Saccharomyces cerevisiae S288C: one gene and its partners. Changing the gene in region 4 together with the main gene of any one other region gives a genetic interaction. Each region holds a gene or a part of one and is shown on either strand. Other genes may lie near its edges.

Region 1 (2,894 bases), on a different chromosome or scaffold from region 4:
TGTTCATGACCGCCGTTCCATCATTTGTAGATTCATGTCCTCCCAAATCAGATACTGTTTTGTTTATGTTTGAGGTCACTGTATCAAAATTCAAATCATCTAAATCTTTTTCATTGATATAAGATTCCATATCGGAAATATTGTTGCTTTCCGTTTCCGTCAAACCGTCCCTACTCACCGATCCGTTACCGCTGGCGCTGCTTCCATCTCCATGTATACCTTTATTGGCATTCAGTGAATCAGATTTTTGTCCATCATTTTTATTGTCAGTTAAAAAAATTTTCCCCTTTTGACTTGTGGGGAAATGAGATTTTAACCTTGAAGCACTTCCTATATTGCCATTTGAACTCTCTCGATCATCAAGAATGCTGATGCTGTTTCTGTTATTTGTGTAGGTGTTGTTTTTATTGTTGGACATGCCGTTGATGCCTTTGTGGGCTGGACTTGCTCCAGAACCCTTAGCATCAAAATCATCATCTAACTGAAAAAATTGAGAGTGTATATCGTCACCTTCTTCGTCATCGTCGTCGTCATCATCTTCTTCTTCTAAGTTTTCATCGAAATCGAAGTTCATATCGAATTTACTGCCTTTCTTATTATGGCGAGCACCAGGTGGATGCAAAGTAGATGATTTTGCTCTTGTATTAGTTGTATTCATGACATTTTTATTTCCAGAAGTATTTGAGTGGTCCCTTCGACTTTTGAATATCCTCACGAAAGGAAGCGACGATCTCTTACTAGATTTCTTCTGCATTTCCATCGAACTATTTAAATATGAGTCTTCCTTTGAGGAAGTTTTGTGATGTTTTCCACTGGTATGGTCGTCATCATTTAAAAGAGAGTTCGACGCAGATGAATTAAGTGGATTATAACGAAGTGTTCCATTTTCTTCAACTATCAGAGTATTTTTTGCACTTTTATCTTGCAAATTTCGTGTTTCTTCCTCGTCTCTTTCAGTCTTCTCTGCTCCTATTAAATTCTGGTTAGCCTTTCCTTTTTGGCCTTCATTCTCCCTCATTATCCTCATTTTCCCTAATGAAGCATAGTTTTCCATAAAATCCTTAGATACCGGTGGAGACTCTAGTTCAGGTAACAAGCTTACGCCGTCTGAGTTCATATATAATTCACGGATAGAAGAATCTAAGCACTGCTCTGTGTTGAATTCATCTACGGGTATGTACGGTTTTATTATTCTTTTCATTTGATCTTTCTCCGGACACACTCGTAGAAACTGAGCCCGCAGTTCATTTAATACCGTCACCGTGTCCATTATCGTCTTATTATGGTGTGGTGGGGGTTTTACAAACACTGTTTTATTTAGTTTTCCTGTTCAGTAGCCTGTATCTATTGAGAATTATTATACCGTATATTTTTTGACGCGGGCTGATATGTAAGGTCGGCTAAAAAAAAGAAAAATTTCAAAAGTTAAACTAACCTCATCGCAACCACAATCCATTTAAAGCCTGGTTCTAGAGGCTTCATAGACGTTTACAGATTTAATAAAGTAGATAGCGTACAGTTTTAATGGCTCTCTCTTCAAACTGGCAGGCACTATTAGCCTCCGAAAGCAATCCTACCTCCAATGGAAAGAATAAGCAATCAAATAGGAAAATCAGAAACGTTAAGAAAGTTAGCAAAACAGTAAATGTCAGTAGTACAACCCAATATGCCCCTCGAAAGCGCAAAAACGGCAGTAAAATTATGGACATGGTATATAACATGAACAAGGAGATTAGTAAGCATGAGAAAGACAAGCTCGAGGGAAAAGTGTTTGAATTCAACCCAAATAAAGCAAATACTAGTACTACTATTAAAGAGCCAGTAAAAGTGGGTATTTCGGAAGATACTCGTATTAATAGTAATAAGAGTAAAGAAATTGGGAAATACATCGCCATGGATTGTGAATTTGTAGGCGTTGGTCCCGAGGGTAAAGAGTCTGCGTTAGCTAGAATATCAATCGTAAATTATTTTGGACATGTCGTCCTCGATGAATTTGTTAAGCCAAGAGAGAAAGTTGTAGAATGGAGAACTTGGGTTAGTGGTATTAAACCAGAGCATATGAAAAATGCCATTACATTCAAAGAAGCTCAAAAAAAGACTGCGGATATTCTGGAAGGTAGAATTCTTGTAGGGCACGCTTTAAAGCATGATCTCGAAGCATTGATGTTATCCCACCCAAAGTCACTACTCAGGGACACTTCAAGACACCTCCCATTCAGGAAGTTGTATGCTAAGGGTAAAACACCCAGCTTAAAGAAATTAACCAGGGAGGTTTTAAAAATTTCCATTCAAGAAGGTGAGCATTCTTCAGTCGAAGATGCTCGTGCCACCATGCTATTATATAAAAAGGAAAAAACGGAATTTGAAAAAATTCACAGAAACACTTTCAACTAAGACGGTAGATGAATGGCCCCTTTTATTCTTACAATTAAAATGCATTGGTATGTACATTAGTCTATGTGGCGCTTGAATTTACTGAGCCATTCATTACACGATAGAATATATAAAAATTGTAGCTGTATAAAAGCAACCCACGTAACAAATTGCGAAAAATTAGCGATAAGAAAACCCTAACATGAGATATGTACATTCATGCTTACAGATAGATATTGATATTTCTTTCATTAGTTTATGTAACACCTCTAAGCAGAACATGACATCCTTGATAAAATCATTGTCATTATTCTCTTACGTTCATAGATATCTTCAGGTTTTACATCTAAAGGTATCATCATGTCGGAGTTCTTCGCAAATATACCAGAAGAAGTCACAATCGATAAACCTCTTTTGGTTAGACGTTCAATGGATTCTTCGTGAAGTTTTTCTAACGAATTAGACTCTGAATGCGTCACTAATAAGTTTAAAATATCGAAAGCAAGTGGAACACAATCCGA
Region 2 (5,705 bases), on a different chromosome or scaffold from region 4:
CTTGAAGAGGCTATCCGATTTATCCAAATCTAAAATCATTGCGAGAGCCATTACCTTAATAGGAACTGTTAAAGCTTTCATAATATTATAATCGTCATCTATTGAAACGTAATACTTACCAATACTTTGGACATTCTCCATGGTTTCAGTTTGCATTGATTTGTTGTAAAAGGTGAGAGCATTAATTAAACAGCTTAAGGTTAGGATACCGTTGGACTCATCTATGTAGTTTATGTTATCAAGTGAGGATAAATCTTTTATTTTTGTCATTCTCGTAAAGAGATCCCTTATAATGTGCAAATAAAGTAAATAGCCCCCCTTTTGATAGAAAATATAAGCCGGTATTGTTTGTAATATTTCAGTGGAATTAGGGGAAGCCTTTGGAATAGTAAACACAAAGGTGTTGAAGTTTAATAAAACGAGAATATACGGTAGATGACCTTCGAGTTCGGTGGCCTTCAACATTTCAATAACATTTTCAACAACGTTCTCAAATATATGAACTTCTGTCGTCAAATCTTTATGCTCTAGATCCATATTCCTAGAGTGGCTTAACCTTAAAAAGCAGCGAAATAGAATTGCAGTATTTGATTGTAATGTATACAGTATTGTTCGCATTTGAAGAGTATTTCTCGTTTTTACGCTGGTAATTTTCCCCTTTTGATCACCCTTTTTTGGGTCATCGATATAAATTTGAAGTGGTGGTCCATCTCCGGAAACATCCACTATAGGCAACGGCATTGTTTCTGTAATAACAGAATCTGGCATATGTTGGCGTATGTACATTTCCTCCAACGCACATTTCTGGAATAGCAACTTTAAGTTTTTAATTAAAGAAAATCCTCTTTTGTCAAAATAAGAATAGATCTGCATGATTCTCTTACAAGATAAGGTAGTGAGGTCAATGTATACATTCGTAACAATGTTCAAAATAGCGGCAAGTCGACAAAGTTTTGAATGGCATGAACGCACCGAGTTTTCCCCATCTCTTTCTAAAAAGAAACTTCTATCATTTGGACTATTCAAAAAATCATTCAGGTTCTCCAATTGATCGTTCAATACTTTCATAACATCCATGAATGCGTAGTCTTCGTATTTTTCATCCAGATACTGGAGGACCTCAGTAACATTTGAGATTGCCACGGAGGTAAAGTATTCATAAGGAGGATTTTCCATAAATATTATTGCCAGAAAATCTCTCGCTTCCAGATGTTGTGGCACCTGTGAAAAAGAACCATTTCCTAAAGACATACCAAACAAAACACTGGTAAATGTGTCCAGCATAGTTCCCTTATCTAATAGCTCCCAGTATGCAGGTTCATGTTCCTCTTTATCTGTCAATATTTCCTCATTTTTTCTGTGAAAAAAGTACTTTTGATCTTTTGGTGAAGTAAAAAGAAACTCTCTTTCATTTCTAAAGGTACTTGGCATTTTTCTGATGACGTTACACAAAGCCTCCACGATATTTGCCTTTAAGTCTGGATAATGTCTTGCTAATTCATCAATGTCAGTACCATATTCCGTAGAACGATCTCCACCTGTTAATATACGCGCGTGGTCAGCATCGAGTAAGAAATCAAACAAATTGTTTATGAGACCCTTTTCTTTAACTTGCTTCAGCCCTTCTGGATTCAAGCATATGGCAGAAACGACATCTGGAAGTAAACTTAATAATTCGGCGGAAGGCCCAATTAACTTTGGAAAATTATCGATAACATATGGAATAAGTCCTGCTTCAACCAGAACAGGATAAATAGTAGGCTCACTATTTATTACTTTCTGAACTACATCCAGAGTGTAAGTTATTAATGTTAAACCGAATACAAGTTTATTTTCTAGGATTTTCTTTAATGAAACAAGTATCGGCGAATCTATTAAATTTCTAATTCTATCCCCTGAGTCTGTGCTTAATAATTTGAGAACGAGTTTCAATAAACTTCTAATATATGCCAACTCCCTAAAAGAAATTGAATAATAAACCACTGAATATTTTGGCGGTTGCCACGTCTCTGGATGTGCAAGCGTGAAATCAATCTCATTGGCGACTGAAGTGATCAGCATAGTAAACCCATCATTTTCGATAAATTCAGTGGTAGTTTCACTGTTATCTATAAATGTTTCTAGGAGATGGGTAGCAGATGCGAGGGTACGCTTATATGGGCAATTTCTTATAGATACAATTTCCAATAAAGTAGGTATTAAACCCGCGGCGAAAAGAGATTCATGCAAAGGCTTAACGTCAGCTAAATTTGATATCAAGTAAAAGAACCTCACATTATATTCTTCATCGATTTCGTCTGTCGCTTCTCTCAATGTCTTGGCAATGTAACGGAGAATCTGAAACAACAGACCATGCGATATGTTACCACCGAGATTTCTGATAATGTCTGAGCACCAGACATGCTTCAAGGATATACATTCCAATGTGAATAAAGCATCCGTTCTTAGCTCTTTTGGTATTTTGGTTTCAGACAACGATATCAAATCAGTTAGACTATTAAAAGCATACGGATCTAATTCAAATAACTTCGAGCTTACTTGAGGAGGCGAGAAAATGGTGTTAACAAATGCAATAGCATTCAGTTTTGTTTCAATAATTATATTTCTCAAATCTATATTTTCACCTGAATCATCACTGAAGGCCTTCGCCACCGAAGCTTTTATTGAGAAATCAAACCAACTTTCTGCGGGTAAAAGGGCCATACCCTTATCAAATATTTGCTGTAGTGAGTGTTCACACAGTTCTTGGGTCGTCATAGTTACCTTCTTAATGGAAGTTTGGGTTTCATTAATGTTATTTTTTTGCTGGCTTGACTTTTTAAAGTCGTTTGAAGTATAATGTGTAAATCTCAACTTTCTCCATTTTTGAGGCACTTTTTTCTTATCAAAATATAGATCGACAAGAGAAAAGTGCTCTCCGTCTTCATCCATGACGGAAGATGACAGAGATAAAGCTAGTTTGAGAGTTTTTTTCCTGAGGTTGTGATCTCCAAATATGTTATGTGCAACTATTTTTTCTCTCGCAATCACAAACCTTTCCCCTAAAATGGCTAAAATTCGCATGACCGCTAGTTTTATTGTAAAATTCGGACAATTCAGTAGATACATTAAAACATCTCCAGATGAATAAACAAACCTGTTTTCTGTATTTAGAAGTAGTCGACGAGTAAACTTTAGCATTTTCAAACAATAATCAACATCATGCGCTTCCATTTCCACCAATTTGACTTCACACTCCTTCTTGGGGTCTTGCTTGTATTTATATTTCTCTGCCACTTTTAACAACAGCCCGTCCATTCTGTCTAGAATGGGAATCCAAACATAAAGATCATCTCTGGATCGGTCCCACTCTTGGATTGCCTCAATTCTTTCTAAAAATGTGGGAGTATCACAATCAATCAAATAATCAACTAAGGGCTTATAACCAGCGGCGAGTTTCTCCTTTCTTGCCTTTTCACACCGAGTAAAAAGCACCATGAATATATATTTTCAATCAAAGGCAAAAAGTAAACTAAATATGCACTATTTTCTCACCAATTATACGAGTAGTTATGGATATTCAGTAACTAAGGTATTTGAAAAATATTCGTTGTTTTACCTTTTCTTCTTTTCCTCTCCCAAAATCATGGTGATTTAGTATCGGCTCATTAAAAGCTAGCTGAAATTCCTCATTATCACAAAGCGGCAAAACTGAAAGCAGTCGGGTAACGTGCGAAATATGATTAAATAAGATCAATCCTACTAGCGTGTATATAACAGTACATGATTTAAAATGAATAAAGTGTAGAAGGGTATTCCTTCGGCGTTGAGTAAGAGAGAATGTATAAAGACTTAATTAATATATTTATATTAGAAACAAGGAAACCATACACTTTAAAGTCTAGTGGTTTTGGGAAGAGAAATCTGCAGGTGATTGCGTAGCCGAATCTTGTAAGGATGGAGAAACGTTGTCCAAGAATACTGGCTTCAATACCTGTTCATCAAAATTTTGAAACCATTGTGAGTCGGAATTAAAGATTGTTCCCAGTTTATCTCTCAAATTACGCTTATCCATAGAAGACCTTGCCGGGTTAGGGCTAGTATTCTCAGTTTCATTAAGGCCTCCAAAAGTATTACCACCAGTTGTGGATATGTTATTGGGGAGATTCTTGTTACTGCTGACCGCGAATTGGTCAATTGAAATATCTGGAGAATTGTTGTCAGAATATGGGCCCAAATCTGTCTGAATAGAACTACCGTTCAATAAATTTATCGCCCTTGGAGCCTCTATATCAAACTCGTCATCAGATGTATCTTCTTCACTTATGCAACCAGTCTTAATATTTAAAACTTCTAACATTCCTGCAGTAGTGCCCCCAAAAATGATAACTGTTAAAACAACAACAACAAGGACCGTTGCCAATAAAGTGAACTTATACTCACCTTGAATTCCCAACGCCAAGGCGACACCAACAGCACCACGTAAACCTGCCCAAAATGTCATCATTTGGTAATTGTAGGGTATTTCATCGGGAACAGAAATATTTTCTCCGGTTATGCCGCTCATAGATCTGATTGTCTTTACTCTATATATCCAGTTAACAAATTGCGACAATGGGAACACAGCACACCAACGAGCAACACATATAGAAATAGCTGCCACAATAATTAGCAGTGGCTTATAGACTAGTTCTACTTCAGTAAAAAGTTCTAAACCTAGATAGATAAAGATGAAATTCTCTGATAATCTTGCCAATAGTTGGAAAATATACTTAATGGTGATCTGTGATCTTCTTGACATGTTATAATAGGCGTAATGTTTTAAAGTAATTCCGCAAAATAACAAGGAGACGATACCGGACATATGGCAACCGTTGGAGAAAAAATAGGATTCATAAGCAATCAACAAGATCAAACAACTCTCAATTTGAGGATAGCGCCTTATGTGAGTGTGTTTCAACAGAAGAGCAACAAGAATTCCTATAAGAACGCCTATCAACAACGAAACGGAGAAAGTCATCAAAAAGAGGCCTGCCCCTTCAAAAACCGACGAAAATGTTGCAGGTTGACCATGAAATTTTTGACAGGTTTCAAACATAACAATAGAGATGGCATCATTTAACAGTGATTCTCCAAAAATGATGGTATATAGCTTAGGATCCACTTTATACGCATTGAAAATTGAAAGAATTGTAACAGGGTCGGTAGCAGATAATGTAGCACCAACAGACATTGCATCTGCGAATGAAATGTCAATACTCTCTAGTCCTAAAAAGGTCCAGATATACAATATGATTCCAATAACCACAGCAGATATGAAGGTGCCCGGTATGGCGAAAATTAAGATAGATAACATATTATTGAAAAAGTTCACTTGATTCAACTCGTACCCACTATTTAAAATAATTGGCGGCAATAGAACATTAAAAAAGTAGGATGAATTAAAAGTAACCGTATCTTGAATATAATGCCCGGGGGACATCCTTATTATCAAGCCAATAACCATACCATAAAAAATAGAAAGCACAGTTTCATGCACTGCCCTAATTCGTTTCTGAGTTAAATAGTAACTAGACCACAATGCAGAGATCAATAGGAGCAACATAATGAACAATGCCCATGAAGAGAACATTTCTTCTGTAACAGGGTTTAAGTCTACATCAGGATCACCTGCAATAGGGTCATCGCTACCCGGGAGATCCGGGGAAGGTAGAAGTTCATCATCA
Region 3 (4,452 bases), on a different chromosome or scaffold from region 4:
TAGATGTGGTAGGTCTACTAGAAACAGATACACAAAGAATTACCATGGGGAACAGGGATCTAACTAGCAAACTAGCTCATGATTTGAATATGTATGCAGATTTCGGACCAGGTCCAAATAAACATACCTGGGGCTGTGTTCTTCTTTCTAAATTCCCTATCGTAAATTCTACGCATCATTTATTGCCCTCTCCAGTTGGGGAACTTGCGCCAGCCATTCATGCCACACTTCAAACGTACAATGACACTCTCGTTGACGTCTTTGTATTCCATAGTGGACAAGAAGAGGATGAAGAGGATAGAAGACTGCAAAGTAACTACATGGCTAAGCTCATGGGCAATACGACTCGCCCAGCTATTTTATTAAGTTACTTAGTTGTTGATCCAGGTGAAGGCAACTACAATACGTACGTTAGTGAAACATCCGGAATGCACGACATTGATCCTTCTGACGATGATAGATGGTGTGAGTATATCTTGTATAGGGGCTTGAGAAGAACAGGATATGCTAGAGTTGCAAGAGGAACGATAACCGATACGGAGCTACAAGTTGGTAAGTTCCAAGTTTTGAGTGAGCAAGCGTTAGTAGAGCACTCGGATTCTATGTATGAATACGGTCATATGAGTGAACCGGAATATGAGGACATGAAATTTCCAGATAAGTTTTTAGGCGAAGGTGAGAGGGGTCACTTCTACCATGTTTTTGATGAGCCACGTTATTACTTATAAGAGGCCGTAAGGTGGTTTTATAAATCAGTGTAATCACATTGTGTGTACTGAAAATCTTGATAACTTAAGGTAAGTTATGTATCCACCTGATTTTTTTGACCTCGAATTTTAAAAATTTATGTGATTTCTTTATGTATGTTACTTAGACGATCTTGTTATAGTTTTGTAAGAAATTATACTTCCTGAAACGATTTATCCCGCTACTTTTTGAGCGTATTTCACAGTAAAATATATACTACAACTGAACAACGTTGTTGAACTCTATGTTAAACATCAACGAAGAAATTCTTAAGTTCTATCTGCTCCGAGTCATCATTCTTCCAAATTTCTAGTAATTTCAGACTTCTTTGAACAAGCTCTTTATTCGGCATTTGTACTTCCTCTTGCTCGTCTTGTACCTCTTTTTGCTTCCCTTGTTCGGCATTACCGTCTTTTTCACCTTCTTCTTTTTCTTCACCATTAATTGGTTCGCTAGCCTTATCCTCTGCAATTAACGCTTTTATTTTTGTTTCTTGATCTTCCACATAGTCGTTCCATTGCTTCAGTTTTCCTTTGCATTTTGATATTAGTTCTTCTTTTGATTTACCTTGTAAGTCCCTGAAATATAAAAGCAAAAGATCATTATATACTGAGGGGATTTCGTCCAAGTTGAAAAAATGCTTAATAAGCCAATTTTGCTTTTGCTTGGAAAATTTCCAAACTTCAACAACACCAGACTCTGATGGCTCGTCTTTGATCAGGGAGTCGCCGTAATTTTCTTTTACACTTTCCAATTCTAGGATTCCGGTGGGAAACTTGCTCTCAGACTTTGTCCTGAAAAATTCTATCAGGTAACGTAATTGATCTTTAAGAATTTTATTTTTTTTCGAATTCTTTTCATCCTTTGACAATTTTTCCTTCTTCTTCGTCCCTGGTTTCGACACACGCTTCCCTTTTTTGGTAGAGGATTTGCTCTCACCATTAATGATTCTTTTTTTCTCTTTCTTTGTCAAATTACCAGTGGATAAATGCGTAGTGATATTTAGTGGATCATCATCTATTAGATTGGATTGGCCTTTTTCTTTACTTTCGTCACCACTGCTTATAGTCTGTCTCTTCAAAGCAATTCTTTTCCAGGCAGGAACGTGATTTTCGGACATTTAATTGTGAAGTGAATGTTTCTTCTGCTTGTAATTTGTCGATAAAGAAAGCACTTATGACAGTACTTTGATATTTGAATTTAGCTCATCTCTTTTCGTTCCTTTTTCTCGCTCGAAAATTTTCAATAATTTGCAGTAAAAAGGCGATGCCAGTAAAAAACTACCTGCAAAGGGAGCGTTAGACATATCTTTTATTGGCGACAAATATTTTTAGCGATATATATCCGTAAAGATCTGGCGATATTCTTTATCACTCGATGATAATAAATTCTTTTACACTTTGCTATTTTCCATGAGAACGGTTGGTATTCCTGTTCCCAATAACAAAAGCGTTTGCATATTTTTATGGTGAAGGTACTATCAACTGTAAAGTATGTACAATAGATTTATTAAAGGGAAACACTTTTCGTAGTAAGAAAAGCAGGTTTATAATTCAATTGTTTTAAAGCTGAATAATGCCGTGGTGTTAAACTACGACCGAGCTATAGCAACAGCATCGGCCACACACTCTCTCTTATTCTTATGTTAATAGTCGACCTTTCAAGGATGTTCTTGTTGGAATAGAAATCCACTATCGTCTATCAACTAATAGTTATATTATCAATATATTATCATATACGGTGTTAAGATGATGACATAAGTTATGAGAAGCTGTCATCGAAGTTAGAGGAAGCTGAAGTGCAAGGATTGATAATGTAATAGGATAATGAAACATATAAAATAGAAGAAGGGATAATCGTAATATTAGTATGTAGAAATATGGATTCCATTTTGAGGATTCCTCTATCCTTGAAGAGAACTCCTAGTATATTCCGTATACATAATATTGTTGCTTTTCTCGAATCATGTATCAAGATTACTAGCGCAAGTGGTTTAGTGGTAAAATCCAACGTTGCCATCGTTGGGCCCCCGGTTCGATTCCGGGCTTGCGCATCTTTTTTACTTTATATACTATTTTTTTTTTTTTTCTTTTTCCCAAATTTTTTCATGAAAAATTTGGCGGAACGGTACATAAGAATAGAAGAGATTCGTTATGAAAATTTTCTACTCTCTTTCACATTTTTTTTTTCATAAGAATTAAAAAAATAAGCTTAATGCCCTCTTTGTACGATGGTGTCACTCTAAAATTATTTACGTAATTTAATTGGATGTGATATCAAGCACTAGTTTTGTTTGGAGGAGCAGAGATTGAAAGCCTAGCTTTTACACCGGTTTGAGTCGGTTCCTTCGTTTTCTTAGTTGGAATTGATATAGAAGTGTGTGGACAATCGATTTGCAAAACTTTTTATTTTATGTATTACTACTGAGCTTGTTTATCTGTATACTTTTTTCTTATTATTATGTAGTTAGAGGTTAGTTCTTATCGTTTTCTTTAAAAGCGACCTTTCTTCGCACAAAGCAATGTTGACAATCGAGCCAATGCATTTAACAATTGCAGTAACCAGAAGCGAACAGTGGAGGATATGAAAACCATTATTATTTCAGATTTTGATGAAACAATCACAAGAGTTGACACAATCTGCACCATTGCTAAATTACCGTATCTACTGAACCCGCGGTTGAAACCTGAGTGGGGTCATTTTACCAAGACATATATGGACGGATACCATAAATACAAATACAATGGAACGAGATCACTGCCGTTGTTATCTTCAGGCGTACCTACGATAATTTCGCAGTCTAACTTCAATAAGTTGTTTGCGGACGAATTAAAATATCAAAATCATAACAGGGTTGTTGAGTTAAATAGTGTAAATGAAATTACAAAACAACAGATTTTTAAGTCGATTTCTTTGGATCAAATGAAAACGTTCGCCAGAGATCAGAATCACGAAGATTGTTTACTAAGAGATGGTTTCAAAACGTTTTGCTCTTCAGTTGTCAAAAATTTTGAAAGTGATTTTTACGTTTTATCTATAAATTGGTCAAAAGAGTTTATTCATGAAGTCATTGGTGACAGAAGACTTAAAAATAGTCATATTTTTTGTAACGATCTAAAAAAAGTTAGTGACAAGTGTTCTCAAAGCTACAATGGTGAATTTGATTGTCGGTTATTGACAGGCTCTGATAAGGTCAAGATACTGGGTGAAATATTAGATAAGATCGACTCAGGTTGCAATAAAGAAGGAAATTCTTGCAGCTATTGGTATATAGGGGATAGTGAGACTGACTTGTTGTCCATATTACATCCATCTACTAATGGTGTACTGCTAATAAACCCGCAAGAAAATCCTTCCAAATTCATAAAAATTACCGAAAAGATTATTGGTATCCCAAAGGATAAAATCTCGAGTTTTGAAGCTGATAATGGTCCAGCGTGGTTACAGTTTTGTGAAAAGGAAGGCGGTAAAGGTGCCTACCTTGTGAAATCCTGGGACTCTTTAAAAGATTTGATCATGCAGGTAACAAAAATGTAGAAACGGATGAAATCCTGTATATTCAAATTTATATAACCAGGACGTTGCAGTGCTAATAATAATGGAATACCGCTAATTTTCCTCCTGTTTTTTCTTTTTTAAGTAAAGATAAAATAGTATTTCACTTGCACTATTCTTCTATCTCCGTAATCGGTCTCGGTCTAAAAT
Region 4 (4,206 bases):
GCGTCGCAAAGTGCAGCAAGAATATTTAGCGAGTTATTTGCTTCCACTTAGATCGGTGAACAAGTTGAAATATTCATTGAATGTCATATCCTCTGTACCAAGAGTTTCCTTGTCAGTGATGTCCAAGGGAATAATTTTGCTTTTCAAGAAACGGTCCTGACTGCCACCGGTTTTAGTTTCAACATATAATGGCTGCGGAAACCTTTGCAAGTCATTTAAAAGCTTGCAACAGAGCTCGCGACCTTCTTTTTCCAAAAGTTTTCCCCTTCTTAAAACTAAGTACGAGCCACCATCTACACAAATGGTGGTTTTATCATCTTGAAGTATCTGGGCTCTTGTTAATGGGACATCCAACACGATCCAGTCGTGTTTCAAATCACTGTAACTCCAGATGAAGGGTTTGCATAATGAAAGGCATGTGTCTTTAGAAGCGTTTATTATTCGGTGAAGAAAAAGGTACCTTTCATCAGGTGAAGTATTCCGAACCGATAGAATTGGAGACCTATATATATGATAACACCACTGTATCAGATTGACCATATCTACGTCTTTTCCCCGGATTTGATTTGGTAATAGAAACAATTGCTTCATCAATTCTTTAGTGTGCTTGGATGAGTAAGCAAAGCTATCGATAATTCGTGAGGCTATCTTTTTCATTGAAAACACAATTTCATTTTGTGCCCCAAATGATCTATTGGCTTTTGGCAATAAGAGGGTTTCAATTCTTATGTATTTTTCCGTTTGATTTTCAAAAGTGGTTTGAAACTGTATAGGAGCTTCAGCTGAATTGTGACCTAGTGAGATTTCTAATGGTAGAGAAAGGTTTTTAGGGTTTAAGCTATATTTTGGGAAGTCCTTAACGACAATAGCGTTCTTTGCGGTCATTATCTTTGAATGACAATTGTAAATGGCATTATGGTCACGCAAGTTCAGGTACTTTTGAAAAGACATTGCGAATCTCTCATCATTGAATGAATCAAACTGAGAAACTGCCATTGACGAAGTTATTAATGGACTCATTTCGAGTATACCGATTTGATCCAATGAAGCTATAAAGAATTCATAGATTAACGATTGGTTTGCAAATTTTTCAAGCATTTTCTTGTAAAATTTTGTCGGACTTTTTGATAGTTGCAATTGTGAACTTTTGGATTCAAAATGGTGGTTTTGTCTCATGCTTTCACCACGTTCTCTTGACATAACTTTGCCGCCACCCTTAGTACATGGACCATTCAGGAATGAAACTATATGACAGTAGGCTGACAAACTGCACTGAGACGCCAGTACGGATGAAACGAACAGCGCTAATCCGGTGCAACGCTTGTCCCTTTTAGAACTGATATTCACTTTGTTTGCAATCTTGCATATTTCCCGTAGCAATTTTCTTAAAGAACCCTGAGTAGATTTATCAAACCAGTATGATTCTTGATTGATTTCTGAAATTTTTTTCTCGAAGTAACTGGCATTTAATTTATCAAGATTATATTTGGTCATAAATTCATTTATTGAAAATACAGCATCACGTCTGTGATTCACAGCATTGTGTAAAATCACATGACCTGATTGCTGAATAGTAATTATTGATAGTGGCTCTTGTTGTCTTGTGATGTAATTATTACATAGAATGGAAACTAAATAATTTAGCTCATGAGGATCGCAAATAGCGTCTATAATCATAATGGTCCGTCTTGAAAGTATTTCTTTCTTTGCAGAAGTCAATGTATAGGTGTTGGAAGGTACCAGTGGCAATTCAGCATTTGAGTTTGATTGGTTGCAGAATAGACAAGTCCAAACATTCTGTTCTCGTAGGGAACAAGCCATCGAATAATAGGCGCCACATTTGGTGCATTTTAGATTTTGGTCATAGTTCTGCGTCACAGCATCGCTGGAAAAGGGCTCATATAAGAAATTAGTTGGAGAACACATAGGCACTTCCTTGGCCAAATTTGGTGCTAGATTGCAGTATTGTACAAATACAGGATTCAGTACCTGATCACTATTTTTACTCTTGATATTTTTTTTCCTTAAAAAAAATCAGAAGACAATAATGATAGAAAAAAACTAGGAATTCTTGAATTCATATGCATGGAAGAAAAAGGAATACAGGGAACAGACTTTTCAAAGCGAACAAACAGACCTTAACCGATGGCCGATTTCTTATTGAGACCAATTAAGCAACGTCATAGAAACGAGGACAAGTACGTGTCGGTGGACGCTGCAGACGGATCGGTGTCTAAAATTGAGCCCATCGCAGATTTTGTAATTAAGACAAAACTATTATCCGCTAATGGGCCGGAAAAACTGCAAGATGGCAGGAAGGTGTTCATCAATGTTTGTCACTCTCCGTTAGTGCCCAAACCTGAGGTCGATTTTAATGCAAGGATAGTGTTCCCGCTCATCATCCAAAACGAATGGGAGATTCCTATTATTACATCCTGCTACCGCATGGACCATGACAAGAAGGGGCAGGAGTGCTATGTGTGGGATTGCTGCATAAATAGCGATTGCTCGCGCTGGATATGCGATGATATCCAACTGCGAGAGATACTGGTCGAATGGTGCTTGGAGTCATGTGAGATCCGAGATTCGGTGGTATTGTGCAGAGATCGCATTGCATTCCCCAAGATGAAGAAGAAGGGCGCTGAGCTTCCTGCACTAGAGGTATTGAATGATGAGTTACATCAAGATTACAAGGCAAAAATGCATAAAATCATAGAAGAGGAGGCCGGAGACCCGATGAGTATATTGAGAGGAAGGAATGACGATGGCGATGATAATAATGATCCCGACGATGGAACACTACCACCATTGTTCCCTATCGAGAACAAAATCTCCGGAGCCAAGATAGAGGAGATTGATAAGAACGAGATTGCTCACAGAAACCTGAAACAGGCACCTGCACCTGCACCTGCACCGCACGAGCAGCAGGAGGACGTGCCGGAATACGAGGTAAAGATGAAGAGGTTCAAAGGGGCCGCCTACAAGCTGCGAATTCTTATTGAGAACAAAGCTCCGAACTCGAAGCCGGACCGGTTCTCTCCGAGCTACAACTTCGCAGAGAATATTTTATACATTAACGGTAAGCTGAGCATACCTTTGCCGCGCGACATAGTCGTGAATGCAGCAGATATCAAGATTTTCCATATCCGCAAAGAACGCACACTATATATATATATATAAACTAACATTTCGAGTATTCTTTTGGTTTTTGTTGTGACTAATACGAACGAATATATAAAAGCGGGAAAAAGGAGAGAGATATGATGTGCATCTATAACAGAATTTTTTTTTTTTTTTTTAATCCGGTAAAAAAAAGGGAATATTCTCAAAATTGCGGAGGGAAAGCGATGTTTTCTCTATGTGCTACGTATTCACTCACACTGTAGCCCAAAACATCGTGAATCTTCTCACTGGGTAAGCCCTTGATCTTCGCAAGCTCCAGACTCGTATAATTGGAGCGGACGCATCCAACAGACTGAATCGGCTTCGAGATATCCAATTCGCCATTGGGTAACCGCTGGCCTATTTTGAGATCAACGCATTCAAGTTCGTGGAAGTTGTCTCGGACTTCGATCACGGCGTTTGGAGTCAGACTAGCCATATCCTTTGACAAAAGTTTATCATAGCTGTTCTCGTCGATGATAATGGCGCCCTTGGTAATGAGCCCGTGCAGAATCCAAAATTCCCTGTTCTTAAGCTTGTGTTTGTTGTCATTAGCTAAGAACTTGGTGTGCATGGGAACATCGTAGCGACGCAACTGTTCGAGCTCCGTATCCTGAAGATCGAGAAACTGCTGCTGTGTGCCGTTTCCGATATGGCGCGGAGGGCGGAAGTGATGCTGAATGTAGTCAACGATCTTCGGGACGTACTCTGGACGGTCGCTCTTCATCACAATAGTCTCGATACCGGCATTAGAGGCGAGGTCGGCGGCTATGAGTTTGGTGCGCATTCCGCCCGTGCCAACCTCGGAGCCTGAACCACTGGAAGTGTTGACGCCCGGAAGGCCCTCTGATAGCTCTGGCACGAGAACAATAGGACGAGCATCCGGATTAGTGCGCGGATTGTCTGTATATAGGCAGTCCACATCTGTGAGCAAGAACAGGAAATCCGCCCCTACAAGAGCAGCGGTAATGGCAGAAAGCGTGTCGTTATCGCCGAACTCGATCTCGCTAATGGATAGCGTATCGTTTTCGTTGACTATAGGGA

Evidence for each region.
Region 1: mutations in PIH1 (region 4) and REX4 together harm fitness more than expected from each alone (negative genetic interaction), as found in Saccharomyces cerevisiae (3 studies listed by BioGRID).
Region 2: mutations in PIH1 (region 4) and TOM1 together harm fitness more than expected from each alone (negative genetic interaction), as found in Saccharomyces cerevisiae (2 studies listed by BioGRID).
Region 3: mutations in PIH1 (region 4) and RBP95 together harm fitness more than expected from each alone (negative genetic interaction), as found in Saccharomyces cerevisiae (3 studies listed by BioGRID).

Annotation. Positions count from the first base shown.
Region 1 is NC_001147.6:180,058-182,951, reverse strand, and holds REX4 (putative 3'-5' exonuclease), read left to right. Parts: upstream 1-1,524; coding exon 1,525-2,394; downstream 2,395-2,894. Other genes in the region: AVO1 (Avo1p), read right to left, coding at 1-1,270; Ras GTPase activating protein IRA2, read right to left, coding at 2,643-2,894. UniProt on the Saccharomyces cerevisiae protein: Exoribonuclease involved in ribosome biosynthesis. Involved in the processing of ITS1, the internal transcribed spacer localized between the 18S and 5.8S rRNAs.
Region 2 is NC_001136.10:1,367,562-1,373,266, reverse strand, and holds the start of TOM1 (E3 ubiquitin-protein ligase TOM1), read right to left. Parts: upstream 3,478-5,705; coding exon 1-3,477. Other genes in the region: bifunctional K:H/Na:H antiporter NHX1, read right to left, coding at 3,881-5,705. UniProt on the Saccharomyces cerevisiae protein: Probable ubiquitin ligase protein involved in many cellular processes, such as transcription regulation, maintenance of nuclear structure, cell cycle, mRNA export and rRNA maturation.
Region 3 is NC_001135.5:141,049-145,500, reverse strand, and holds RBP95 (RNA-binding ribosome assembly factor RBP95), read right to left. Parts: upstream 1,868-4,452; coding exon 995-1,867; downstream 1-994. Other genes in the region: CWH43 (Cwh43p), read left to right, coding at 1-728; CTO1 (Cto1p), read left to right, coding at 3,331-4,284.
Region 4 is NC_001140.6:175,939-180,144, reverse strand, and holds PIH1 (Pih1p), read left to right. Parts: upstream 1-2,145; coding exon 2,146-3,180; downstream 3,181-4,206. Other genes in the region: GTPase-activating protein NEL1, read right to left, coding at 34-1,926; YHR033W (putative glutamate 5-kinase), read right to left, coding at 3,326-4,206. UniProt on the Saccharomyces cerevisiae protein: Involved in pre-rRNA processing and required for the NOP58-snoRNA interaction.